Elephas maximus indicus: one gene and its partners. The protein of the gene in region 2 purifies or fractionates together with the protein of the main gene of each other region. This does not show direct contact. Links are inferred from orthologs where the notes say so. Each region holds a gene or a part of one and is shown on either strand. Other genes may lie near its edges. The genes, in order: AP2A1, RNPS1, HNRNPC and CSNK2A2.

Region 1 (7,541 bases), on a different chromosome or scaffold from region 2:
TCCGCCCCTACCTCTTGAATCTGCTCTGTTCCCAGCAGCCAGCGGAATTATTTTAAAACATAAATCAGATCACATCCCTGTGTTCAAAACCTTCCTGTGGTTCCTGTTTCACTCAGAGAAAGGCCAGAGTCCTCACCCATTAAAAACCTTTTACTGTTGAGTCGATCCTGACTCATAGCAACCCTACAGGACAGAGGAGAACTGCCCCATGGGGTTTCCAAGGCTGCAATCTTTATGGGAGTAGACTGCCACATCTTTCTCCCTTGGAGCAGCTAGTGAGTTCGAACCGCCAACCTTTTGGTTAGCAGCTGAGCACTTTAACCACTGCAACACCAGGGCTCCTGACAGTTCCCACAGTGGCCTACAAAGTCCTACATGATCCGCCCTATTTCCTGCTCTGCCCTCATCTCCAGACGTCTCTGCCTTGCTCACTCAGCTCCAGCCACATTGGCCTTCTTGCTCACATTTGAACACACAGTAAGCATATGGCAACCTCAGGACCTTTGCACGCACCGTATCCCCTGCCTGGAACCCTCTTTCCCCTAAAATCCACAGACTTGCTCCTTCTCTTCACTCAAGTCTCCATTCAAATGTCACCTCCTCAGTCAGGCCTTTGCTGACCCCACTCTAGATCCTAGTAACTCTCCACCTCCTTTCCCGCCTTGCTTTTCTTCGTAGAACTAAGCATCACTGGAGCCCTGGTGGCACAGGGGTTAAGAAGTCAGCTGCTAACCAAAAGGTCGGCAGTTCAAATCCCCCAGGTGCTCTTTGGAAACCCTATGGAGCAGTTCTACTCTGTCCTATAGGGTTGCTATGAGTTGCAATCGACTCAGTGGCAACAGGTTTGGGTTCTTCTTTTTTGTTTTTTCCCAGGAGCTTCTTTTCCATCTCTCTCCTGGAACGGAAGCTCCCAGAGGCAAGGATTCTTGATCACTGTTGCAGGCCCAGTGCCTAGAGTAGTGCCTGGTACACTGTAGTGGTCAAAAAAATTTGTCAAATGAATGAATAAATCTTAATGGCTATTACTAGTGCTGTTTTGCAGACAAGAAAACTGAGCTGCAAAGAGAATAAATGACTTGCCCAGGGTCTCACCTAGGCTGGTGGTATCAGGGACAGTGCACACTTACTCCTAACAACAGACCCCCTACCTAGTCTATGGCTCCTCATGTTGTTATCATCGTTAGCTGCCATCGAGTCAATTCTGGCTCATGGCGACCCCATGTGTGTAGAGCAGAACGGCCCTCCATAGGATTTTCAAGGCCATGACCTTTCATACACAGGTCACCAGGCCTTTCTTCCAAGGCACCTCTGGGTGGGCTTGAACTGCTAGCATTTTAGTTAGTACAGGAGCTCTTTCCTTTTCCATGACAACCATATCCTCATCTCTCCACCAACTGACACTCAGCAGCTGCCACTCCAACTGTTCACTGAGTACCTACTATGTGCCAGATCCTCCTACACCTATGAATTTCTAAAATAGTCAATCACTGGGCACTGAACAGGAGCCTCTCCTCAGATCCAGCACGATAACAACAGCTAACATCCATCCAGTGCCAGCAATGTGGGAGAGGCCTCACTCAACATACACTGTCACAACAACCCCCCCAGGAAGGTACTAGCAGCATTCCCACTTGGCAGATTAGGAAACATAAGAGTGAAGCCCCTCAGTCAAGGTCACAGCGCTAGGGGGTGGTGGTGCTCAGACTCAAAGCCAGTCTGGCTGACCCCAAAGCCCGTGCAGATGTAGCCTCAGCAGCTCTTGGCAGCTTCAAACACCAACACCACCGGCTCCTGGGAGTTGGGAGCTGATTTGGCGCCAGGCCTCTCATCGTCATGACAACTCTGCCTGGTGGCATTCACTGACCCCAGATTGCTGTGGTCACTGACCCCTGACCTCTCTCTGGGCCTGAATGACCCACAGTTTTCCAGATCTCTTTCCACAAACCCACAAATTCCTCAGGCCCCTTTCTTTAGCTCTGGGCTCCCTGCCCCTACATCCCTGAAGCTCCGCCCCACTCTACAACCTCCTCTCCTACCCAGGCCCCCACTCTCTGGCTCCCAAGACCTCCACACCTGCAGCTCCTCTATCCCCCTCAGCTCTGTGCTCCTTGGGACCCTCCTTTCCACTTAGTGACCCTTCTAGCCTGCTCCCCACTGCCCCGTGCCTTCCAAGCAATCCCCCACTGGGGAGCCTTCTATCCCTTATTGGAGTCTATTTATAGTGCCCCCATCTCTCCTCCTCAGTCCCCTGGGTTTTCTACCACTCCTAGGCCCTCTCTAGGCTGCTACCAAAGGGCCTGAGTGGCCTTCTAGCCCCTTCCCCTGTATGACGCCCCTCTCCCAGGCCCTCAGGCCCGGCCACGTTAGGTTCTCAGCGTGTCGGGCTTCCAGTGTGTCTCGTCCTCCAGGTCCCCTCTGGCCTCCTCCCACTCTGTCACTCCATAGGGTGCCCCACTCCGCAACTCCTTCCCTTTCTGTCTACAACAGGGATCTCTCTAACCCCATTGCTTGTTCGACCCCTTAACCTTTCTATCATTCCCAAGGGACACGTTTATGTCCCCATTCCTGGGACCTAACTAGCTGGCTCCCTTTGGCAACCCTCCGGGACCCCTCTAGCCACTCCATGTCACCTCAAGAAGGACTCTATGACATCCCAAGCCCCTCCACTGCCCCCACCCTGAAGTTCCCCCCGGGGCCTTTCTACCCTCCTAGGCCGCTCTATGACCCCCGAGCCCCTCAATTCCACTCTCCCCGCCCCTCGCCAGTGTCCCCCGGGCGCACGCTCACAGTTCCGGATATCGGAGATGAACACCGCGAGCCCCCGCATCCCATCGCCCTTGGACACGGCCGGCATGATGGCGGTGGTGTCGGCCCCAGGCCCGGCCGGACAGGGCACAACGCAGCGGGGGCTGGCAGGCTGGCAGGCGGGGACCGGGCGGAAAGGACCCCAGACAGCGCCAAGGAGCCGAGCCGGGCCGGGCTGGCGGGCAAGCAGGCGGGCTGGCAGGCCGCGGCACCGCCCCCTGGTCCCGCCCCTCGGTTCCACCGCCCTGAGCTCTCAGACACGCATTGGCTCAGGTTACTGCCCTTCAAACTTGGGCCCACCCCCATTGCATCGCTCATTGGTAGTTAGGCAAAGGCACGCCGTTACCATTGGTCCAGGCCCCCGCTATTTCCGTTCGGAGAGAAGGCGGGGACGTTGCCCGAGAGACCGGCGGGGTTCGAATACGCACTACAGAACCGCCCCCTCCGCGCTGCCCGGTCGGATTCGGATTGGATCCGGCTCCTCTCCAAAAAGGGAGGGAAGGACGTGCAGGAAAGCTGGGGAGCGGGGCTGAGGGGGCGGAACTTGCGTTAACTGGACCCAATGGAAAGACAGACCGCCCCCGCAAGCGTAGCGGATTTGCTGAACGTGTCCTACTTTCGCCCTCCATTGGGCGGTTGTGGGAGCGGATAGAGGACGATGATTGGTAGAAAAGGAAGTAGAAGTGGGGGCCATCTCAGCGGGGCTGGGATAGGTGGAGCGACGCCTGCAATTCCCTGCTGCAGAGAAGTGGTTGGGAGGGGGAAGAGGAAGCGAGGTATTTACTGCGCAAGCGTCTCTCTGATCGCCTTCTTACCCTGAGCTCTTAAACACTCTTCCAGGAAGCCTTCCTTCCCTTTCCCCTCTTCTTTTCTACAGCGGACAAGCTGTCAGTTCTTGGGCCTGTCAAGAGACGTAGACTCTCACGGGGGAGAAACGGTAATCCAAATCTAGTCCCGTTAAGCAAGGGTTAAAATTTAAAACCAGAGAGGTTGAGTGACTTGCCCTAGGGCGCACAGCTCGGCAGTCAGAAATTTAAACTCTGTTGGCTTTTAGCTACTATTCAATATGGATTGTTTATTGTTTTTGCAACCATAAAGCCTCAGGCAACCTCCATTGTAGCAGATATCAAATCAAACTTGTGGTTATCTCCACCAAAATTGGAGCTCCTAAACGCAAAAAGGATCTGGTGTTGACGAGCTCAACACTGGCTTCCTCTCGGCGCTCCAGACAGTCTCTGGTTGACTGGCTTTGGGGAAGGCAAAGCTTCCGGATCTTCAAAGCCCCAAGCTATTGTGAAATTTAGGGAAAAGGGATCTGGAGGAATCCGTTTCTGTCACATCGAGGAAGAAAACTCCATCCCACCATCCTCTTCTGATTTCCGAAGCCAAGTAGTATTCCTGGAATGAGCTTTGGAGGAGTGTCCTGAATCCTGGGAACTTCTACTCCGAATCTTGGGGGGATGGGGAGGCAACAGCGAGAAGAGTCCCCCCTCCCCCGCCCAGGTTCAATGGATCCGTCCATTTGCGTTTCCAGGAAAGGGGCATGGGAAAGTCCATTCTGGATTCCAGGGAGGCCGGGCTCTTCTTCACTCAGCTGTTTTGGTGATTGAGAGAGTACATCCCTAACAATAGGAGGGGGCATGTCTGCCTCTAAGAAACATAAGAGTAGCTTCATCTGGAGTTGACTAAGTCCTTTTTGTGGAAAATGACATTAACTGGTCCAAAACTGAAGAAGTCCATTGAAGATATAGGGAGGAAACACTTTCTCCCTAAGGATTATAGTTGTTGTTAGTTGCCATCTGACTCATGGAGACCTCAGGCACAACAGAACCAAATGCTGCTAGGTCCTGCGCTATCCCCACGATTGGTTGTGGATCAGACCCTTGTGACCCATAGGATTTTCATTAGTCTGGAACCAAAAACCAAACTCCTTGCCTGTCGTGTAGATTCTGACTCATAGCCACCCTATAGTAGTCTGGAAGTTCTATGCATCAATATGCTCAAGTCTGCACTGACAGACGGGTATTGGCTGTGCATGAGGTTCACTGGCCGGGAATCGAATCCAGAACTCCCAAATGGAAGGTGAGAATTCTACCACTGAAGCACCATTGTCCCCCCCACCGCAAGGATAACACCAAGGAGCCCTGATGGCGCAGTCATTAAGCGTTTGCCTGCTAATTTATTGGAACCCACCAGCCGCTCTGAAGGAGAAAATGTGGCAGTCTGCTTCTGTAAAGATTACAGCCTTAGAAACCCTATGGTGCAGTTCTACTCTGGCCTTTGTGGTCGCTATGAGTCTGAAGTGACCCAAAAGCAACAGGCAAGGATCTCGCCATTAAAATAAATATATTAGTAGTAGGGTTCAAACCATTCCTCTATTTGGGGGTGTGAAAGAGAGATTTCGGGGGACCCAAGAACAAAAGAAATTTGTTCCTAAGTAAGGGGGAAATCCACATTCTTCGCTGCCTGAGTCCTTAGGTGGTGCAAAAATTAACACGCTCGGCTGCTAACAGAAAGGTTGAAGGTTGCAGTCCACCCAGAAGACCTCAGAAGAAAGGCCTGGTGATCTATTTCTGAAAAATCCGCCACAAAAAACCCTATGAAATGCAGTTCTACTCTGACACACGCGAGGTCACCAGGAGTCAGAATGTACTTCAAGGCCATTGATTGGTTCCCCACCTGAACCTTCCACCTCCCCTTCCAACCCCAGCCCTTCACTCTTCCCACCAAATTCATGTAGGGCCGGATAGTTAACTCAGGGTTCTTGGTCTGGGGGTTCTAGGTCCAGTTGTGGGTAGGTGGGGCAACTCAGCTTCCCTTTAAACACCCTTACTCCACCCCATAGGCCGATTGCCATCAAGTCGATTCCAGCTCAGCAATCCTATAAGATAGAGTAGAGGTGTCCCATAGGGTTTACAAGGCTATAATCTTCACAGAATCAGACTGCCACATCTTTGTCCCATGGAGTGGCTGTTGGGTTTGAACCACTGACCTTTCAGTTAGCAGCTGAGCACTTAGCCATTGTGCCACCAGGGCTCCTTACCTCACCCCGTAGAGCCCATGAATCATCCACAGTTTAATTTTTAAGACTGAGCCTAAAGCACAGGCATTCTGAGGTGTAAATTGGACGGGGGGAGTGGCGAGGGTAGGTTGGGGAGGCCAACCCAGCCTTCTTGTGTCAAATTCTCTGTGAAGATGGACCTGTAGCCTCCACAGGGCTGCATGGGCTGACCTGGTTGAATTAGGATGGCCTTATACAATAAAAATGCAAAATAGATAATTTTCCGTTTATTTAAAAAAAGTCATCATCAAGTCAATTTTGACTCATAGCAATCCTATGGGACAGAGTAGAACTGCCCTCAAGGCTGTAATCTTTAGGGGAGCAAATCACCAGGTCTCTCTACTGTGTAGTAACTAGGGATTTGAACCACCAACCCTTTTGTTAGCAGCTGAGTGCTTAACCACTGTGCCACCAGGGCTCCTTCCATTTATGCTAGCCATGTTAAAAATAAAAAATAAAAACAAACAGGTGTATAGTGCAGTGAATTACTTAACATGGCCCTTCTAGCCACAGCCTTTGTAACTCCCACCAAATGACTGGGTTGGACTATCCACATGAGATGCTTAATGTCCACCTAGGGGATTGGATTGCTTGCTAATCATGTAAATAAGGTGCACTGCTCCCTTGTGGGGGTGGGATCATGCAAATAAGGTGTATAGAACTCTAATGAGGGCATTGGTCAGTTTTGTCATCCTGCTAGGCTTAAAGGGATACAGAGAGAGAGAGGAGGTGTAACAGGGAACACAGAGAGAGATAGCAGAAGCAGCAAAACTAGGACAGAGAGTAAGAGCTGTAACACCAGAGACAGCGAAAAGCAGTGGCAGAGAAATAGCAGCAACAGAACCAGGAAACCAGCAGGAGATGGCGCAATGGGCTTCTTGGCCCACAGAGCAGGAAAGCTGAGCGCCTTCAGGCAGGTTTTCCAGCAAAGTAGGGAGCCTCCAGGCACTTGGTGCAACTACGTTTGAAATACTACAGGGTTAGGGCTGAGTGCCTTTGAGCTGAGGCTTACTGGCAGAGTGGGGTGCTTCTGGGCACTTATTGGCAGAGCTAAAAAAGCTTTATGACACTTGCCTGAGAAGGGCAGATGACAGGCCAAGGGGCCGAGGGCAGAGAGAGACCTCCCTGTGGCATGGTTGAGAAGAGGCTGTTCTGATCAAAGAACTGTATCCCGAGTATTCCTGAACCTGAATTGTACCTGTTACTTCCCTAATGAGCCCCATAATCGTGAGTATTGTCTGTGCATTCTGTGTGGCCATTGCAATGAATTATCAAACCCTGCAGAGAAGTAGAGAGTGCTGTGGAAGGGACAGTTGGTATCAGAATTGGTAAAAGGGTTGGAGGGTGGAGGTATGTCTGACCTCTGCCTCATAGGAATCAGCCTTGGACTGTTGTTCTTGATTCTCCTTCTTGTGAAGTTAGAGGAGGTCAGATGCCTCCACCCTGCCATTTTTACAGTTGGTGTCTGTCTGAGTTATCTAGTGTTGCCATACAGAAATACCACAAGTGCATGGCTTTAACAAAGAGAGATTTATTTCCTCACAGTAAAGTAGGCTAAAAGTCCAAATTCAAGGCGTCAGCTCCAGGGGAAGGCTCTCTCTCTGTCTCTGTCAACTCTGAAGGAAGGTCCTTGTCCTCAGTCTTCTCATGGTTGAGGAGTTTCTCAGGCACAGGG
Region 2 (6,828 bases):
ACTTCCCCCACCAAGTGCCTGTGCTGGATGCAGAGACTCAGAAAAGCAAAACAAACACACTGGTTTCCTGCGGGGCGAATACCAAACCCAATCCTTAATCCAGGATTCAGGGGAGCCAAGAGTCCCAGCAAGCAGATCCAAGGGTGGCATCTGGGGTCTGGGTAGAGGCAGCAGCCAGCCCACAGCCTCCTTTTCCACCCCTCCCCCACTTGGCTTGCTCAGGACCTTGAACACAGAGGTGAGGTGATATTGTCGACCAAGAGAGGTGTCTTAGTCATCTAGTGCTGCTATAACAGAAATACCACAAGTGAATGGCTTCAACAAAGAGAAATTTATTTTCTCACAGTATAGGAGGCTAGAAGTCCGAATTCGGGGCGTCACCTCCAAGGGAAGGCTCTCTCTGTCAGCTGTGGAGGAAGGTCCTTCTTCCTGTGCTCAGTCTTACTGGGGTCTGGAAGCATCTAAGTGCAGGAATCTTGGGTTCAAAGGATGCTCTCTGCTCATGGCACTGCTTTTTTGGTGTTATGAGGTCCCCAACTCTCTGCTTGCTTCGCTTTCAGCTCTGGAGAGAGAAAAGGTGGTGTAGGCCACACCCCAGGGAAACTCCCTTTACACTGGATCAGGAATGTGACCTGGAAGGGTGTTACAATCCCACCCTAATCTTCTCTAACATAAAATTACAATCACAAAATGTAGGACAACCACAGAATACTGGGAATCATAGCCTACCCAAGGTGATACAATTTGGGGGGGACGTAATTCAATCCATAACGGGGTTCCCCCCCATCCGCTCTGAGGCACAGCTCCAGGCAAGGTTAGACCAAAGGCACAGTAGCAGCCAAACCTGACATTGCCAGGGCCAGAGACCCAAGGTCCCTAAGGTCTCAGCTCTAGAGCCCGCAGGTTGGTGGGGGCTCCACCTAAGGGCATTGCTGCCCCAGCTATTCAGTCTACCTTGGGGACCAGCACAATTTGGACCCCATGGCTCTGTGAGGGTGAAAGCCAGGGTGCTTTCCTCCCTGCAGACAGCTACTCCCTGGGGAGGTCCCTTTGCATGCAGCCTGGGCTCCACCCCCCCCCCCCCGTGCAAGGACTACAGCTCCTGGGGGTGCCCTGAAAGGGTCCCTAGAGGGAATCTGAGGTGTTCATCCCACACTGAAGTTGGCTTTCAGCTGCTCAGCCTGTCCCCCATAATGAGGCCTGCCAGCAGCCCTGGGGCATCCTCACCCTCCAGGCAGGAGCCCTACTCCCAGAACCCTGGTGCAGGTGGCCCCTGACCCTCCATGCTGGGTCACCCAGGAGCCTGGGGGCTCCTGCGGCCCCTTCCCTTCCCTCAGGTCAGCCACAGATCTGCCCGGAGAGAGGGCTGGGTCCAGCTGGAAGCCCCCATCCTCACCTGACACACCCACAGGGCATTGGCTTCGGGCAGGAGGAGGGGGCTGAAGCTGGGGGCTCCGGCCCAGGGAGCAGAGGCCCTGCCTTCCTTCCTCAACACACAGAGCTGCCCAGGCCCCACAGCTGCCCAGCAGGTGCCTCCCCGGTGAGAGAAGCTCCATGTTGACTGACAGGGAAGGCCAGGTGTGTATGTAGGCCAGCAAGGTCCAGACCAACAGCCTGAGGGTGAACTATGAGAGGTCACTGGGCCACAGAGGATGCGGGCATTGCGGGCAGGGCATTCTTTGACATGAGCACGTACTCAAACTCAGGGCTGCCCCAAATTGCGACAGGTGACCCTGCCCTGGGAAGGCCCCCTTCATGACCTTCCCCAGGACACTGGTCCAAGCCCGAAGGTGGCTTGTGGCACAGAGCTCTAGGGCCAGGGTGGCTGCCAAATGCCTTGTTCGTGCAAGCCCTGCCCTGCCCCACCCTTCCATCATAAACCCACCCAATGCCACCGAGTGGATTCCGACTCATTCTGACCCTACAGCGACCCTATAAGACAGGATAGAACTGCCCCATAGAGTTTCCAAGGAGCACCTGGTGGATCTGAACTGCCAACCCTTTGGGCAGCAGCTGTAGCACTTAACCACTACGACACCAGGGTTTCCCCCTTCCATCATACCAGGGCCAAAGATCACCCCCCTTGCCCAGGTCCCCCAAGGGCTCCCATGGCATCAGCAGGTTGGCAACAGAGACTGGAGGAGGAGAGCCAGGACTCCCAGGGGACAGGGTTCTAGAATTTTCTTTTTTTCCAAACACACTCTTGCTGTTCCTCAAAATGGCAAAAACCAGGATGTTCACTTTCTAAAGCTCAACAGCCAAAATTGCATGTGTTATAACAAAAAGCAGTGACATTTAGAAACAAACTCAAATCCATGTGTCTAGATAAACATGCTTTTAAGTTTAATACAAAATGTGTTAAATTTTATATGCATGCCAAAGTAATTGACTTTAGATAATTTTTTTAAAGATGAGAAGGGGCACTGTCAGCCCAGCTGTACTCTGTCCTCCACCCTCCTCTCACCATGCTGGGGTCGTATGGCCACGCTGACCCCAGCTAGCAGGTCAGTGCAACCCTGAGCACAGGCTCTGGGTTCCAGAATCTTCCCACAGGCGTTAATGGGTAGCTTCAGGTTTACAGAGTCCTTTCTGCCACTGCCTCCTCACAGACCAACACACTGCTGCCTGCCGGGACCACCAAGCCCACCCCATCCCCCAGGCATACCCACTCTGTTCCAAGGACCTTCAAGTTGGCCACGGCAGGGAATGCGCTGTGACATCCGTCGACGCAGAGATTAACTCGTTCCAACTGTCCCACACCAAATCTAGCACCCATCCCACCCCGAGTGGGGCTGACTCCACTCTGGCTATCGTTTGTCTTCCAACTCCTCAGACGCCCTGTGGCTAGGGGTGATGTGTTAAAGCTGCACTCAACATCCTGGATGGGGCTAGAAAGACTGCGGGAAGGGGTATCACCATCCACTGGCTGGAAAAATCACAGAACAAAGCAATGACTTGCAAACCACGTCCATACCATCCATCCGTCCATCTATCCGGGGTCACCAAGCCTCACCCTGGACTCTTTCCTGTCCTTCCCCGCCCCCCACCTAATGTTACCAAGTCATCTTGGCTCCTTCCTCCAACATAATCGGCTTGCATTTGTCTCCTGCTCTCTTCCTTGTTGCCACCAAACCTGTCAGACAACGGTCACCTCAGGCTGAGCCCACCTTCGCTCCTTCCATGAATAATTATGGAGAAACAACTGTCAGGCACAGAAAGGGGCACTGGAGACACCGAGGGGTACACAACTCCGGCGGTCCTCGCCCTCTCGGCGCCGGGTTTTCAAACTCCAGAGCCTCCGGCCCGGGCTGGCGTCCAACACTCTCCCTCTATCCTTGTCTCTGCCTCCCCTCCCTTCTTCCGAAAACGTGCCTGGCGCCCTGGCAGCTTGTTTCACGTGCTGGGTTCGCCCTTCCACTCAGGCCACCTCCTCGAAGCCCCATCCCCTTCCATCAACTTGAGAATCCTCCGCATTTCTGGCTGCACCGCCCACCTGCCTCGCGCTCCGGCCCGCAGCTACACGGTCACCCACAGAACCACGACTCTTGGATCGCAAGAACCCACGCTCCGTACAGGCCCACCCCTTCCCGCCGCCTCCGGCCTGCATGCACCCATGGCTGGCTGGCCGCGCCCCTCTAGGACCCCCAGCCACCCCCGCCTTCGACCCCCGCGGTCCCCCGCGCTCGGCGCACCCGGCCCACCGCGCAGGCGCACCGGGGGGCGGGGACTCGGCTGCGTTAACTCCTCCCACGCCGGCTCTAAAGTGTGCCCCGCGGCCTAGCCTTCCAGGCCCCAGCCAGCCGCTTACCTACCCGCTGCAGAAAAGGTGCGCAACTAGCCCTGGACCGCGCAGGAGACCCATCCAGGAGGGAAAACGAAGTAGCGCCCCCGCGGCCCTTCCCACAAACGGCCGTGGCCCTTTAACACGACGTCCGCCCGCGCCCATTGGCTGCAGTGTTCTTGCGTCATCGCTGTGCGCCCTAGGACGGCGCCTTCCCGCTCCTTAACCCTGACGACAGAGCGGCGCCAGCCTCGGCGGCTGAGGAGAGCTTGAGGCGGTGGCGTCGGCTGAAGATGTAAGTTGGCTGAATCCGACCCCATCCAAGCTTCATGGGCCTCCCGCCAGGCCCAGCGGGACACATCGTGGAGAGCTGCGCCGCTCCTCAACCCGCGATGATGGCCGCGGCCTGGCGGCGCGGGCTTTGAGGAGAAAGAGTGGGCCGGAGCGGGCGGAGTGGGAGGTGCCGAGGCCGAGGCCCGGAAGTGGTCGGGGCCGCTGGGGTTGGAAGGGCAACAGGACCTGAGAAGCCGGAATGCGGCCTTTGTTCGTGGGCCCTGCCCTGGGAGCGCCTACGGCCCAGACTCGACGGGAACGCGGCCGGGGGTCGGCGAGGCCGGCGGCTGGGGCTGGTGGGAGCGGAGCGGCTTTGTGGGCTCCCTTGAAAGGCCGAGTGACCGTCCCTCAGGATTATTTATCCACAACTTCCCTACCCTCCCTCTGTGAGCGTTAACCGAGCTCTTTGCGCTGTTCTCGGTGCGAGGCGCGGGCACTGAGACGGCCCAGCTCTCCTGCCACAGAACGCAGTTGGGCGGGTTATCCCGGAAGGGAGGCGGGAGGCGACGGAAAGGTTAAGGTCATCGGAGGAGAGACGTAGAACAGGCTGCTTCTGTCTCTATTCTAGCATGAACTGTTCCTAAAATGTATCTTTAAATGGGAAACGGTGCTCTGAAGATTTGAGCTGAAACGCCCTCGCCTCTGCTCAAGACATTACTAATTTGTTCTCTCCTCTCCCTGGCTGTTGGACGCGCACCTTTCCGGAGGACGGGGGAGGTGACCGAGGTCCTGGGCCTGTTACCTGAACTCGTGTGAACAGAGAACCTCAACCTTTGCTTTCTAGCACTCAGCCATACCCAGCAAAGCGTTCGCTCAGTCTGTGGTTCTTGATTTTTAGAGTGCTTAAGAATAAACGAGGGGTTGCGACCAATATCACAAAACAGTATGTGTATAAATTTTTGAATGAGAGGTTAACTGGAGCTGGAAATTTTCACCTAAAGCGCACTGAAAAAATTTTTAAAATCCTGTGGGGTAGTTCTACTCTGTCACATGGGGTCACCATGAGAAGAGAAAAAAGAACTCAAAAATGCAAAAGAAAGAATAAACGATGGTGCTTGTTTTTACACAGTGCGCTTCGAAGACTGGGGCTGTGCTCTCAAGATTGTTAAAACTGGGTGTGGGCGCAAGAATCTGCATGTGTGACCTACATGATGCGTTGCGATGTCCAATACAATAACCACTGGCCCCATGTGGCTCTTGGGCACTTGAAAATGTAACTAGTCCGAATTTAAAGTCTGAAAGAATGTAAAATATTTTTTTAACATTTTTTTCCTATTGATTAATGTTGAAAAGGTAATACAGGCAGTCCCCGGATTACAAACAAGTTCTGTTCCTAAGTCTGTCTTTAAGTCAATTTGTATGTAAGTCAAAACAGGTACAGTTCGTATCTAATGTCAGTCAAAGTATATAGTGTACCTTTTTGTATAAAAAACGTGAAAGAAATACTTCCAGATACACTAAAATATCTTTAATATAATATAGCAATAATAATGATGTTTTGATGCACGTCGCAGAGTAGTGCCTGTTTGTTATTATGAACCATTGTACATAGAATTTTTAATATACCGTGGTTTTTAATTTACAGTACTAGGCTTTACAAGGCTTGGTTCGTAATGTAATATGTAAGTCAGATGTTTATAACCCAGGGACTGCCTGTATAGTTTTCGAAATAAGATGCATTACCAGAAGTTAATTTTATCTGTTAATTTTTTTTTTTTTTTGAAATGTGTCCACTAGAAAAAATTGCATTATGCTTGGGACAGCGCTGCAGTATGGTCCTAAAGTGGGCTTTCCAGGGACCCCTGTTGAGCGTTCAGGAGTTACGTGTGACTTTGGAGACAAGAATATATCTAGGAAGAGAGCCTCCAGATGTGGAGAAACAGCCCATTCTTATAATAATAGCTAACATGTATTGAGGAGCCTTGGTGGCACAATGGTTAAGCACTTGGCTGCTAACCAAAAGGTTGGCAGTTTGAACCCACCAGCTGCTCCAAGGGAGAAGAGGCCTGGCAATATTCTCCTGTAAAGATTTCAGCCTAGGAAACCCTATAGGGTAGTTTTATTCTGTCCTATAGGATCTCTATCAGTCAGAATCAACTAAACTGCACACAACAACAAAACATTTATTGAGACTGGACAATTAATGCCAAGTTTTGTTGTGGATTAATTCCATGAATGCCCTTTATAATTCTTTGAGATGGGCACTATAACTCACCATATTGCAGATATTGAGGCTCAGAAATGTTAAGTGACTTATCCAAAATCACGCAGCAAAGCCTCAAATCAAACCCAGGCAGGCTGAGTCCAGACTGAATTGTACTCACTGCTTGTCCAGCAGCACTAACGTGCCTGCTGGGTGTCTCTGGTACCTTATCATTTTAAGGCAAAATTTTTTTTTAAGATTCTACAGCAAGAATCTACAGAAGGAGGAGTTCTCTTTACTCTTATTTGACTCCAAAGCCAGGTGCTTTCTTTCTTGGGTCAGAGCACTTGTTCTTGTAGCATCCCTGGTAGGGACACTCCTACACATGTGGGCACAGGGTCGGGGTGGTGTGCTGTGTCCAGACTTACTTACAGGGGGTTGAGAAAGGTAAGGCAGAAGTTGGGACTGTTATCCTGAGATCTTTGTGCCCACTTGCAGCAAATTGTCCAAAACCTCACTGGAACTATTAGAGGCAGCAGTCCCCAGGAAATAAGGGCATATAGCTAATCAG
Region 3 (7,083 bases), on a different chromosome or scaffold from region 2:
TATGACTCCTAAGAAAATGACATACAATACCATACTAAAATAAACATATACAGGCAACTATTACAACAGCTTAAACAAGATTTGAAATTAGGTCACTTTTCAAATAAGAATGATTGGCTGCACTCAATATTAAACCATTAAGTCTTATTCTCCTACACAAACTTGAAGAAACTAAAAAACTTAAAACTGAGCTTTTTTAAGTGTTCCTTGAGTTGATTATGTATGAATGACTAATTAAAATGCAATGGGTACTGTAACTCTAAAATTTTAACTGTAAATTTAAAAAGGGGAGGGAGAGCAGTTTAAGTATGAAATGTGATGTAAAACTGTACAAACTGTAGGAAATGTACATCTGAATGTTATTTGGGAAAGTCAGTGTTTGGAAAGTACAGTTATGGAGAAACATTCGGCATCACTTAGTACTCAAAATCTTCAGGTTATGTTAAGTGACTACGGCTCATTCACAAACAAATCCTCTGCAAATGTGCCAAGAGACAGAAGCTTAAAAAACAGCAATAAGAAAAGAAAGCATTTACATCTTTCAGTATGAAGTTAAAGTATCTCCCATGATGGTATGTTAAATTGATAAACTATCACTTAAAAAAAAAAAAAAAAACATTAGCACCTAATCCTGATGCTTTGCAATTAAGAGCATACCTAGATTATACTTTGTCAAACTTCAGCGAGGTTTGGATTCCTTCTTCTACTGGAATTCTCAGAATGAAGTGTGTCAACCAATCCCATGAGCATCATTATCACCTGTCGCTTGTTAGAAATGCAAATTCTCAGGCCCCGCCTTAGAATGACTTAACTCGGGTGGTGGGGCCCAACAAACTCCTTTAACCAGCTCACCTGCTCATATTTGAAAACTACTGTGAAAAGTCTTGATGTTCTAGGCAAAACGAGGTTGAATGCTACATCAAGCCCTCTAGAGATCTAATTACAATTATAAGCTATGTTTACACTTTCTATACAAGGAATAGCAGCAGGTACTGGGAGAGTGGCATAGGGAGCACAAAACTACCAGAAAGACCCACAATTTAGTCATCCCTCTTCCTCTACCTAGCCCAACATGAAAATGTTACTAATGTCTATCTAGTTGAGAACACATCTATATTTTGTTTCAGATTTTAATTCTGTGGCCAAATACTTTCTAAAGGATATGAACTCAAAGGAATTTTTGTTAGCTTGGTACATGAAGATGCTAAGAAACCCTTACTTCTGACACCTCAAGTCAAGACAAGTGTCCTTCAATTAATTTCAACTCTTAACAATAACCTTTCTAAAACGTTAAAAATTCCTGAGATTTCATTTGCCAACAGTACTTTTATCAGAGTTCCTAAATTAATCAATCACTGGCCTTATCTTATTTCTGACAGTTCAGCAAAGTGATAAACTTTAGTCTAAGCCCATGTATAATGTAAATTCTTAGGCATTTTTACAAAATGCTTTTGATCCCATGTAACCCTATTATAGAATTTTCAGTATTTACATGGTGAGGAATCTGCAAATGCACATCTATCTGGAATAAGACTATTTTTACTTTCCAACAAATAGGTTTCCTGAGAGATGAATTTCTTACCCTTCGATATTGGTTAAAAGTGTACTTAACATTAGTTTTTCTGTGAGTTAAACATTTTGACTAAATCAACTCAATCTTACACAAAGATAAACGATTTTCTGGGTAAGTGAATGGGATACTTAAAAATCTGCCACTTCTATAAACTTAGTAAATTTTTCAAATACTGTTTCAGCACCTAGCAAATCGCAGGCACTACAATACTTGCTTAATAAAAAGTATTAATGGTGCATTTTTGCCACAAAAGTTTAGATGGATAGAAAAATGAATACCAAAATATCCTGGAAGTCGAATTTTAAGTTTGTCATCTTAGGAAGTTACATTAATTACAAATCCAATTCTCGTAATTAAATATTTTTCTCAAGTGCAGTTTGGAATTTACAACTCCCTACCAATAGACTTTGTAATGTGGTTCTTATAAAGATTCAAATATAGTACTGTTTAGTAACCAGCATGCCAGTAACTACGTAAAACGACTGACCTAGTAATCAAATTCCTTACAAGTACTAGTTTCACTACTGATTTAACGACCCTGCCAACGCTCTTATGCCTGTTTCTCTGAGAAAAACAGTAATACCTACCTCAAGCAAAGTTCCACTAACTTATGTATTTCAAGTCAATTGTAACCTGCAGATAAAAAGTAGTAAATCAGCTGTAATTATTACTGTTATTGTTAATTCGATTTTCTTTTGTAAATAGAATCGAAAGTAACTACTTCAAGGTCCATCATGTGTTCACAGGGAGTAGTAAATTAAAAGATAATCAGCAAAAAAATTAAATCTACAGCTATATTCATTATTCTTATCTTATGCCCCGCAACACACTCCAGAATTTGAGACGATCACGGTACAACACCTAATTGGTAACCCTCCCCCACACCACACACACCCAATTTTCTAATTTAAGAGATGGAGATAACAGAAGGCATCCGCACTACATCAAACTTCAACTATACTAATGACCATCTCGATCTTCACTTTCATAGTCTCTCTTGGGAGTCCTCAGAGTCACAGAAAATCAAAAGAAAGCAACCGTTAACATAGAAAGCAAAAAAGAAAAATGACATTTTCTCTGCCGGTCGAGGCCTAGAGGACTGTAGGTGAAATCTACGCAGCGGCTGAGACCTGCAAAACTCCCTCCCGCATAAAACCTAATCCCCCAGGACACATGGAATAAATGGGGGCCTGGTTACCGAAGGAAGGGTTCCCTCGTCTCTTTTCCCACACCCCCTCGCGCTCCTCGAGGAACCCAGTGTCACCACTGCGGCCGCCGCCTCCACTTACCAGGAGGGGGTTGGGAGAAGAGATTCGATTATCAATCTCCTACTCCCAGATTCTACGTGAAGAAGCCGACTGCTGCTCGAGGTCGGCAACGCGGCCGCAACCGCTCTGTCTTCGCCTCTTCACAAAATGGCCCCCGAGTCTCCTCTGCCGCGGAGGCGAAGACCTAGCCCCCGCCTCACTTCTAGGAACCTTCTTATTGGCTGTTCCCTGTCTCGCTCCCTCTCCTAATAAGACATTTCTACTGCTCTTCACAATTCTATCCAATCACAACTTGCAGTGGGTTAGACCGAGCAAGAGAATTTCCACATGCGTGAGCGAAACTACTTTGTAACTGGTTACTTTTCCTGTCATTTATCACTTGAGGCATGCTTATTGGCCACTGTACCGCCGGGTGGAAACTCGCCTTTGTATCGCGCACCGCTTCACATCCGGGTATCCGGCAAGTTTGATTGACGGTCTCAGTATCCTATCGCAGTCTCCTAGAGCGCCCAGTAAAAGGCCCGCCCAGATCTCCGAGTTCCCGGGCGCGGGGGCGGAGTAGGGGTGAGGGGCGTAGTCAGGTAGCTGGCGCGAACGGCAAGCTTTCCTCGGTGGCTCCGCCTTGCACGGCAAATCTACCGTAGCCCCGGGCCTAGGAAAAAGAAAAACACCAAGTGAAGCTTCCCTCGCGTGTGTGGCTAAAGGGCGTTTTCTAGAGTGAAAAGGAGCCGTGATGACTAGGCTGTGGTAAAGTGTGTAGAAAACTAATCAGTCCTGCTCGCCTGCAGGTTTCTCCCAACCGCAATCTCAGTACCAGATTGGAATTTCAGCTGCCTCAAGGACATCTCCACGTCTCAGCCCATCAAGCCCTTGTTCGGACGACGCATACCAGTACCAGTTGCCATCAAGTCCTGACTCATGGCGACGCCATGTGTTACAGTTGCCTTCCATAGGGTTTTCAAGACTGAGCTTTTGGAAACAGATCGCCAGGCCTTTCTTCTGTGGCATCTCTAGGTGGGTTCCAACCGCCAACCTTATGGTTGGAGCACTTAGGCTTTCGCACCAAACACCCTCCCAAGCCAGCTGACTTCTTAATTTCTCTCCAATACATCAAGCAAGTGAAGTGTAAAATGCTGGCCTGGGATACTAGAGCACCCATCTCTGTCCCCAAGCCTTATCTCACTAATAATAGCCTGCGTGTAAACCAAATTAGCCTACTCCTCTGTCTCTTTGGGAAACCCTGGTGGTGTAGTGGTTAAGTGCTACGGCTGCTAACCAAGAAGTTGACAGTTCAAATCCGCCAGGCGCTCCTTGGAAACCCTATAGGGCAGTTCTACTCTGTTCTATAGGGTCGCCATGAGTCCGAATCCGAATCGACTCGATGGCAGTGGGTTTGGTTTTTTTTTTTTTGGGTCTGGCTGTTTGAGTAACTGGTCTCTTAATAACCCTCATCCTATTTTACGCCCACCCCCCCCCCCCCATTGCCTGCCGCCTGACTAAATTATAGCAGCCAGGCACACAATGGAGTAGGACTACTAAAACAGGGAGATTTGTATGTGCTGTTAGGGAAGGATCATATTTCTGTTATTTATTGGAAAAAGCAAGATACAGAAAACTGTCTAGATGAGTGATTCTATTTGTATACATTTTAAAGGGATACATAAAAAAAAATTTTTTTTTTTATATCTGTGTAGATGCTGTTTCATACATTAGTTTTGAATTCTGAATTCAGAGAAATTTACAGGAAAGTTAGCTGTTACGTTTGGGGAAAGAAACTTGTTTACCTTTTTCATTGATCTCCCTTTGTATACAATTTGAATGTTTTACCATATGCACGTATTACTTTAAGCTAGTTAGAAAATCAAAAATAAAAGCCATGAAAGAAAAAATACACTAAAACGTTAATAGTGGTTCTCTCCTGGTGGGATAATTACATGTGATTTTTTTTTTTACTTGTGCTTTTCTATATTTTCCAAATTGTCTAGTTTGAACAAAAAATCAAGGGAAAAATCCTACAAGTGCTTAAAGCCTCAGTTCAATTGTCACATTGAAATTTATCTAAAACTCTGAGGTACTGTAGTTAATTTTACACTTGTCTGTTCTTCTTGTTGGGTGGTAACCTTTTTTAATGGCAGGGTTTAATTCTTACTCCTCTCTGTAGTCCACCTTGCTTACTACTTGTCACAATGCCTTAAACAGAAAGTGTTTAAATATGTATTAATTTAATTACCTTTTATTAAAAAAAAATTATTATTTTTTATTTTTTTTTTATTAAGGAGGGGGAAATTGCTATTTTCCCAGGACAAGCAGGTAGACTGTCCTCTCTCTTACATATCTTATCTAGCACTCACTCAGAGGGGCCCAGAGGCTTTGAGCCCTGTAAACCAAACCAAACCAAACCCAACCCGTTGCCATAGAGTCGATTCCGACCCATAGCAACTGACTCATAGGACAGAGTAGAACTGCCCCCATAGAGTTTCCAAGGAGCATCTGGCGGATTCGAACTACTAACCCTTTGGTTAGCAGGCATAGCATTTAACTGTTACACCACCAGGATATGACACGTAAATCATGTAATTTGACTTAAGTAAACAAACAAACAAAAAAGCACTAACGTGTTTTATTACTCGTTTTTCTCAAAAAAAAAGTTTATGTTAATAAAAACTACCTATTTTTATTTTTTACCAGATATCAGTTTTATTGCATGATCTTTGTCATGACCTACTTATTAACCAGCACTGTATATGGTGCAAAAGAGGTGCTTAGGAGACAGCATGCATGTTTTCAAGGAGTTTACCCCATGCTAGGTAGAGTGGAAATGGCAGATACAAGAAGAATTAATAGCCAGTCCTTCCATCGAGTAACTTAGAATTTACTAGGAATGAGAAAACAAGTGCAAAAATAGCACAGTACAAGGCAGAATGTTAACTGCCAAATATGATGACAAATATTCATGACTTTGGTTTTTGGTGCTCTTAAACCTAGGCAAGTAAGGTAGAGAGCAGGGAATTGCCTTGACCCCTTGTGCTGACTCTAAACACCCTCACAGTTAAAAGCTTCTAAAGTTAAATGCTCCTGTTGGGTAGCTGTGTATACTTTTCTATTCTATACTCCAGAATAGTTCCACACTTCAGCAGTGGAAGGAGAGAAAAGAGGTAAGGCAACAGAGAAGCAGTAAGTCCTTATCTTGGTCTAAAGAGAAGTCAAAACAAAACTGAACTTTTGTTTCTACTTCAAGAAATAATTTTGTTCAAAGAAAGCTTCAAGTGGCTTAGATGTATTACCAGAATAATACATATTCCCTCTCCCCACTACCAGTTCCAAGCCATTAGTCAAGAAGAAGAAAGGAAAAGCATCAACGGCTATGAAATGCCTAATTTACTTTTTACCTGAGTCGTTAGCTGGATATTGTCCTCAATATCCATCATCCTACACACCCTGAGCCTACCTAGTCACCTATCGCATTCCAGGACAATCATCATTGCCTCTGTTCTTCTATATCTTCCATTGTCCAACAATGTCATAAGCATCTTCCACTGAAGAGTGAGGAGGTAGTCTCCGATGAACTCAGAAAAAGAACGTAATTAAAATTTCACAGAGCTGTCTTATTTTACCCGACACTCTTTATATTTCTTTATTGTAGTTTGGAGGCCTTTCTGACTGTTTGAGGGCATTGGTGATTCAGTGGTAGAATTCTCCCCTTTCATGCAGGAAACCTAGGTTCAACTCCCAGCCAATGCATACCATGTGCAACCACCACCTATCTGTCCGTGGAGGCTTGTGTGTTGCTATGATGCTGAACAGGTTTCAGCAGAGCTGACAGACTAGGACAGACTAGGAGGAAAGGCCTGGAGATCTACCCCTGAAAAGTCAGCCAATGGAAACCCTATGGATCACAACAGTTCCATCTGCAGTCAGTCGTGGGGATGGCACAGGACCAGGCAGCATTTTGTTCTGTCATACATGGGGTCACTGTGAATTGCAGACTATCTTGTTGGCAGCTAACAATAATCTGACTGTTTGCAAGCTATCTTCTACAGGCACCCATATTCTACATGAAAACATGTTGAAGGTATTACACACCACTTTCAAGACCCTTACCTTTGGGTCCCACATTTAGTCTGCCTTCCATACTGATTCTGCAAACTGCTGCCATGGAACTGCTGCCATGGTGATCATCTGGATCATTTTTATTATGTGACTCCCACACCAGAATCCTGTAATAGCTCTACATTCCAATCC
Region 4 (7,322 bases), on a different chromosome or scaffold from region 2:
CCATTAATTTGAGCATCAAGGGGGCCTGCCTCCCAAGTTTTACTCCAGAAGACTCTGCCCAGTGTTAAGACCCTACAAACCAGTGCTAAAGAGAACAGTAAGAGACAGGAAAAGATAGGGAACAGGAGCTTGAGTGAAGGGTCATTTCAACATAATGATGTTAGAAAAGTTTCTTTGTGCCTAGGCTGCCCATTTGTAAAAATAACCTATAGCTTCCATACTGGGTTCCCTAAACATATCCTGAAAATATTTAGAGCAGGGGAAAAACAATCCAGCAACTGGCCCTATGAAGTTCTTTAGAAGGCCGACAGAAGAGCAATGTAATGCTGTCCTAAATGAACACACCGGTATTTACACTTACACCTGACTGCTATTTCTTTCAAAAGGACACCATGGGAGGTTGCGTGCTTATGCTAAAAGTGCTGTCACTGCATAAAAGTTTAGACATTTTTCTAGAATTGCCTTAGAGTCAGCAGTTTACTCTCCTGAATGTATAGTAGTGGAATGTGAAAATTTCTAATTTCAATTTATGTCCTGCTTACTTCCTAGAAAGATGTGAAGCAGCTTTTATTAAAAACATTTAGGCTTATCTACATAAAGGAATAAACTATATGGCTTCCCAGATGACCCCTCTGGGGAAAATTTTATTTGTTTTAAAAAAAAAAAAAAAAAAAGGACCCGTGACTTTTTAGGTGAAGCCCATATTTAGGGAAGAGGCAAGTCCAACTACACACCTTTAACATCAACTTGTCGCCAGTGTTTCTGACAACACAAATAACTGCCTATTTCTCTCTACTGCTATTCTGCTCCTTCATCACCAGACTAGGATGGTTCCGAGTGATGGAGCCAAACGCTTTGCCGAGAGGTGATTTTCAGACACCATGAGTCTGACCCCTCCTATTCAACAGGGACTATCTACACAGCTGGGCTACCACTACCCTTAAGACAGATTTTTAATCTCACATTCTTATTCGACAAAACCTTTGCAAAATGATCATACTGGAAATTACATGTATGTAAAGTGTTTATGTTACCCTTGAGTCTTCTGAATCTTTCACTAAATGGTATGTACAGGTATTAAATGACCTGACCATAATGTGGGCCCATCACAGATCTTAAGAGTTACTTTTCAGTGCACCCTGTAAAACATTATTAAAGCTACACAACTGATCACATACCTAAAGGAAAGTTTAGACAATGCTTCACGCTCATTAAGATAATGTCTTCATTCATGAGATAACAAAATGTGTATCGTTATCAAACTTATGCCACTAAACCAGATCTTAAGACCATTTTGTTCCAATTATCATCTCAGTGATTACAAATACACTCTCCTATGCTCCAAATTTCATTTTTACTAGCTAACACACAACGATGAACCTTTTCGGCATAACTGGCTCACCATTTCCACCCCACCTGAAACTTTACCACTAAAGTAGAAGAAACACTTGACTACCCACTGAGGCGTTTCCCTTCACTTGAGCTTCAAACTCATCTTTGAAGTGGCTCCAATTTTTTCCAGTGTTCTTTCTGGAATAACTCAGAGCACCAAGGGTGACAAAAAGCTCCAGCTGCCCTTGGATTGATGGGTGCCTCATGAAAAAGGTTTTCTTTCCTCTGAACATCCATTTACTTCGTAATAAATGGAGTCCCTTTGGAATTTTTTGCTTTGGGAGCCCATAATTTAAATTTCAGATCAAGGATGGTTCCTAAACTATCATGTTTAGATTTGAGATCAGTCTGCATATTTTCTTGGAAATTCACAGGAAAATGGGATGGAAGGAATAGTGAGGGACATCGGACAAAAAATGATATGCAAAATGAGAGCCAGCACTGCTTATTCTAGGATGTGACTGCAGTGGCTAGCTATCCTTTTGACCTGTGGAAAAAAAAGTATTTTTAACGCCCCTCATAATACACTCACCTTGAGAATTTTTACAACCACTCTCTCATTGTTGGTGATGTTAATGGCCTCAAATACTTCACTATACTTTCCCCGACCAAGTTTTCGAACCAGTTGGTAATCATCTTGATTACTGTGAAAGGCAAAAGACACACATAAATGCCAGGACTTGGGTTAACCAAGCCTACGTCCACTATACACTTCATCCAGCCTCTTCCGTTAATCAAGCACTTGGAAGTGTCTATACATCACATCACGACACATCCCTAAATGAAAGCCACAACATAGACCTGGCTCCCTTCACTCTGCACAGAGCTCCTAACTAGTCCCTGATAACTTGGGGGGATGAGGGAGGAAGGCACCGCTCTGAGCCAGTCTGGCGGGAGACCAAAGCATCCATCCTGGAGGACCACAAGGTGCCCCTCTAGCCCTGGCTCCCTCGCTCCTGCTTCATTTCACACCCTCAAGGTAGACAGCGCCTACTTTGAGAATCTGGACGTCCTTAAAAATTTTTCTCTCACCCATCTATCTCCATTTCAGGAAAAAACGAAAAAAGCAGAGAATTTTAATAGCTCAGGGGGACAGCTGTTTAGTTCCAACCCCAGCAGAAACCCAAAGGTGCGAGGAGGAAGGGCTGCCCCCTCACTTCCATAGGCTCTAGCCCCTGCACCCTGTACTTCTCCCCAGGAAGAAAGCATTCCTTGGAGAAGGCAGACGGGTTCTTCGCAAAGGTGGGAAAAAAGGGAGAGTCGGAAACGGGGACAAGGACATGCGTGAGAGGAGGCACGCTGCTCCCACCCCAGACCCGAGAAGAGCTGGCCCAGGAGAGGGGCAGGCGGAGCGGCGAATCGCCGGGGGACGAGTGCGGTCCCCGCTAGAGGGAGCCGGGCGGGAGAGGGGGAGCCAGGGGGCCGGCGAGGGACGGCGGCGGCTTTACCCCCAGCTCGGGACGTGCGCCTCATAGTCCCAGTACTCGCGGCTCCTCAGGCTGTTCACCTCGGCGTAGACCCGGGCCCTGCTGCCCGCGGCCGGGCCGGGCATGGCGGGCGGGACCGGGGGGCGCCGCTGGGCGCAGAGAGCAGCGGCGGCGGCGCGGCAGGGGGCGCGGGGCGGCGGGCGGAGGCGGCGGCTGGCCGCGGGGCGCCGGAGGAGGAGGAGGAGCGCGGCGGCGGTGGCGACGGGCGGCCGCGCCAGGCCGGGCCCGCGGGGGCGGACGGGCTGGGGGCGCGGGGGGCGCCGGCCTGGCCGGCCCGGCCCAGGAGCGGCCGGCGGGGTGGCTGGGCGGGCGGCGCTCGCGCTCCGCAGCGGCCTCGGTTCGGCTGGTGGCCCCAAGGTGGCGGCAGCAGCGACGGTAGCAACAGCAGCGGCAGCCGCCGGCCGGGAAAGGGGCAGCGGCGGCGGCGAAGAAGGAGGAGAGGAGGAGGAAACCCGGAAAAGGGGCCGCGCTCGCTAGGAGCGACCGCCGCCGGGCCAGGCACCGCCCGGGCTCACAGCGCCCCCTGCAGCGCGGGGGGACCCGCCGGGCGGCGCCGGCCCCGCCCCCGGCTACCCGCCGCCCCCCTCCCGGGTCCAAATCGCCCCATGCTCAGGTGTCCTGACGCGCTTACCCCAGGACGTTCCCCACCCACGGACTGCTGCCCTGGAGCCTTCGGACCCTTTCAAAATTGTCCTGGAGACCCTTACCGCAAGCCCTCACCCTCTAGTCACCCAGAGTTTCCCCACCTCAAGGCCTCCTATACTTGACCCTATTCTTACCCTCCTGTCACCCAAACTGTTCCCATAAAGTCTCTCCCCAGTGACTCCTTCTCCCCACCCAGAACTTCCCCCCACCCCAAGGTCACTTCATCTCCCCCAGAGGACCCACTCCCCCTCTGGACCCTGCACTGTCACCCGCAGACCTAGTGTCTCTTCATCCAAAGCCTTCCTCACAAGACCTTTCTCATACACTTTTCCCCCAGTTCCCTTCCAGAACTTTCCCTGAACACCCTCTGAATGGTTACTTTGGTCACTTGGTTGAGCTGGTGCCTGCCAGGTTACTCCACTGTAAAGTTACTATTTTCCCCTATGTAATTAATAAGTGATTTGTGGGGAGATAGTTTGAGACTGTGAAGATACCTGTTTTAGTTTGGGAGGAGGGAGAGCAAGAAAAGGTGTGAGGGTCTGACCTGAAGGGACAGGCCAGGGGTTTAGGATGACTGAGGATGGATCAAACAAACTTTGGCCTATTTTATTCTGTTGCCTCCTACCTCGGAACCCTCCTTTCTCTTTGATCTTCTGGGCCTTCTGTCTTGCTATGCCATCCCATGTCTTCTATCACAGAACCTCCTCACCCAGCCAAAGCTGTTCTGACTCCAACCCCTTTTCACATTCTGTTTTCCAGGTGAGACACTGCTCGCTACTCTGTGGTATAGTTAAGAGCACAGACTGTGGAGTCAGATCAATACAAGTTTGAATCCCAGTTCTGCTACTTAAAAGCTCTGTGACCTTGGGCCAATTACTATGTTGCAGAGTTGACAGCACAAAGCCAACAAGAGCACTTACTTTACAGGGCCATGGGAAGAATTAAATTAAACCTTGTAAAACATTTAGATCAGTGTCTGGTAGATACTAAGTGCTCAGTAAGGGTGTTATTGTTGTTAGCTGCCTTCAAGTTGGCCTCCAAGTTATGGCGGCCCCACGTACAATAGAACAAAATGCTGCCCAGTCCTGCCCCATCCCCAGAATTTGTTTTGAATTAGACCATTGTGATCCATAGGGCTTTTTTGGGCTGATTTTAAGAAGTAAATCACCAGGCCTGTCTTACTAGTCCATCTTAGCCTGAAAGCTTTGTTGAAACCTGTTTGGCATCATGGCAATATGTAACCTTCCAATGACAGGCAGGTGGGGGCTGCACATGAGTGCATTAGCCAGGTATCAAACCCTGGTCTCCTGAATGACAGGCAAAAATTCTACCACTAAACCACCCCTGCTACCATTCAATTAGGATTTTTTTTTTAAAAAAAGCCCAAACCCATTGCCGTCAAGTCGATTCTGACTCATAGCCACTAATTACTCAGTATCATTATTTCCAGTCCCAGGGTCTTTCTTCTCTCAGTTTTTCCTCCCTAAGACCACCACACGCCCATCTTTTAGTTCCTTCCACCCTCCAAGATTGGCCAGGGGCCACCTCTACCCCCCTTGACCCCTGCCTTCCCTTGACTGGATCTTTTTTCCTCTTCAAGTCTCACCTTAAAGACTACTTTATCTAGAGATGATACTTCTCTATATCCACATCCTCCAGAAAACTGCATATTTAATTAATTTATTTCCTAGCTTATTGTCTGTCTCCTTCACTGTCCAAACAGCAGGGGAGCAAGGACTGCGTCTGTATGCTCACGGCTGGCATACCCAGTGTCTGCCACAGTTGAAGGTTGTCACGAATACAATGTTACCCCATAGATTACTTAGGAATTACAATAGGGAACCAGGAGGTCACTACCTTAACTGTGGACCAAACTAACATCATCAAAAATAGAACCAACTGACCCTCTGGTGTGATGTACCAGAAGGAACACGAATCACCCATGTATTACTCCTGCCAAAAATGTTGACCTAAATCTAATTACCAGAACACAATCAGACAAATCCAAACTAAGGGACATTCTGCAAAGCAACTGGCCTGGACTCTTCAAAAACATCAATGTCACAGGGGGGAAAAAAAAACCCTGGAGTAGCATTCTTGATTGAAGGAGACTGAGAGACTTAACTAGAAGTAGGTTTGATTCTGAATTACATACTGGATAAAAGTAGGGGGCGGGAGGGAGGGAGGAAGGAAGGGAGAATACAGCTAAAAAGGCACTATTGGCACTACTGGGGAAATTTGAGTACAGGATATAGTGCTGTCATTGGATGCTGTTGAGCCAATCTTGACTCATAGTGACTCCATGTGACAGAGTATGCTACATAATAATATTGTATCAAGGCTGAATTTTGTGAGTGTGACAATTGTGCATATACAGACAAATCCCTTGATCTTAGGTGTTATATGCCAAGTGTTTAGGGATGAAGTATCGTAATACCTGCAACTTACTCTCAAATGGTTCTCCAAAAAAAACATGGATCTCTGAGAGTGGAGGCATAAGCACAAGGGGGCAGGAACAGAACTGGGGAGAAATGAAAATAATTGGTGAGTGTGCAGATAAGAGTACAGGGCCTTTCAACTTGTTGATAGACTTGAAAATTTTCAAAATAAAAACTGGAAGAAAATAGAGCATTTATTAAATAAGTGTTGTCAGGTATCGTCGAGTCGATTCTGACTCATTAAAAAAAAAAAAAAAAAAACCCGTCGCCGTCGAGTTGATTCCAACTCAAGGCGACCCTATATGACAGTAGAACTGCCCCATAAGGGTTTCTTGGCTGTAAGGCAGCAGAACACCAGGTCTTTCTCCCTCGAAGCCACTGGGTGGGTTTGAACTGCTAACTTTTAGGTTAGCAGCCAATCGCTAAACCGTTGTGCCACCAGGGCTCCTTAGGAAATAAGTAGACTTTGGAATTTAATTCGCAAACATGCAAACATTCTTAAATTTCTCTTGAATAAGATGGCACAAACATTTTCATACCGGTAACGCAGTCTTAGGATTTTTTTCTGACAAGTCCCTATGAACTAGTCTAGATCAGAGGTTCTTAATCTTCAGCTCCTGAATGAGCTTCTGTGTGTGCATTCTTTCCTTAGCATCGATCAGATTCTCAAAGGAGGCCATGACCCAAAAATGGTTCCCAACCACAGGTTTAACTACTATGCTCAGTCCAGCTGGGGCCCCATCCCTCGCCTCCACCCTCGCCCACCTCTGACCCCACCCCTCCTCCCTGCACCTTCCTCTCATTCCTCACCACCTAATCCACACCCATGTCACATAACTTGCTCCCACACCTGCCAAGATACCTGAGATTTCACCCACACACCACTCTGGTGCAACACACTCCTGGATTTGGCTAACGCTCACTAACTCACCCTGAAATCAGCAGGCAGCCCTCCCACGGCCAAGTGGAATATGTTTTTATGGTTTGTTAGTAAGTAGGTTGGGTGCTCCATGGAACTGGTGGAGACACACTGCCTCTCCTTCCTGCCTGCCTGATGTGCAGCCAGTTTGGCCAGAGCTAGGATGGTCAATTGGCAGTGGTAACAAGGCAACCCTTGCCGACGGTGGGGGGTGGGGGGTAGGGGGGGAGAGCTGGCTGTCCTGCAGGGCAGGGAACTCAGGGGACCAGAACTGACTTCCCCCAAATACTCTGTGTCGGGTATGGGGGTGCACATAATTCAGGATTACACAACAGGGAATAAAAGAGGACATCTTGGGTCAAATAGCTCAACAATTTCATACTAACACCTGTTCTCCCAATTCTATCCAAACACTGAACAAATAGAAACAAAAAACCCTCA

Evidence for each region.
Region 1: the proteins of RNPS1 (region 2) and AP2A1 purify together in Homo sapiens (co-immunoprecipitation; 3 studies listed by BioGRID and IntAct, with this or other methods). This does not show direct contact. The link is inferred for Elephas maximus indicus from reciprocal best matches to the Homo sapiens genes RNPS1 and AP2A1.
Region 3: the proteins of RNPS1 (region 2) and HNRNPC purify together in Homo sapiens (co-immunoprecipitation; 3 studies listed by BioGRID and IntAct, with this or other methods). This does not show direct contact. The link is inferred for Elephas maximus indicus from reciprocal best matches to the Homo sapiens genes RNPS1 and HNRNPC.
Region 4: the proteins of RNPS1 (region 2) and CSNK2A2 purify together in Homo sapiens (co-immunoprecipitation; 3 studies listed by BioGRID and IntAct, with this or other methods). This does not show direct contact. The link is inferred for Elephas maximus indicus from reciprocal best matches to the Homo sapiens genes RNPS1 and CSNK2A2.

The regions. Positions count from the first base shown.
Region 1 is NC_064829.1:100,197,096-100,204,636, reverse strand, and holds the start of AP2A1 (AP-2 complex subunit alpha-1), read right to left. Parts: upstream 3,014-7,541; 5' UTR 2,855-3,013; coding exon 2,788-2,854; intron 1-2,787.
Region 2 is NC_064830.1:59,328,262-59,335,089, reverse strand, and holds the start of RNPS1 (RNA-binding protein with serine-rich domain 1), read left to right. Parts: upstream 1-3,825; 5' UTR 3,826-4,074; coding exon of another isoform or gene 4,075-4,076; intron 4,077-6,828. UniProt on the Homo sapiens protein: Part of pre- and post-splicing multiprotein mRNP complexes. Auxiliary component of the splicing-dependent multiprotein exon junction complex (EJC) deposited at splice junction on mRNAs.
Region 3 is NC_064828.1:31,625,231-31,632,313, forward strand, and holds the start of HNRNPC (heterogeneous nuclear ribonucleoproteins C1/C2), read right to left. Parts: upstream 3,012-7,083; 5' UTR 2,863-3,011; intron 2,207-2,862; 5' UTR 2,161-2,206; intron 1-2,160. UniProt on the Homo sapiens protein: Binds pre-mRNA and nucleates the assembly of 40S hnRNP particles. Interacts with poly-U tracts in the 3'-UTR or 5'-UTR of mRNA and modulates the stability and the level of translation of bound mRNA molecules. Single HNRNPC tetramers bind 230-240 nucleotides.
Region 4 is NC_064839.1:25,024,301-25,031,622, forward strand, and holds the start of CSNK2A2 (casein kinase II subunit alpha'), read right to left. Parts: upstream 3,011-7,322; 5' UTR 2,945-3,010; coding exon 2,841-2,944; intron 2,037-2,840; coding exon 1,925-2,036; intron 1-1,924.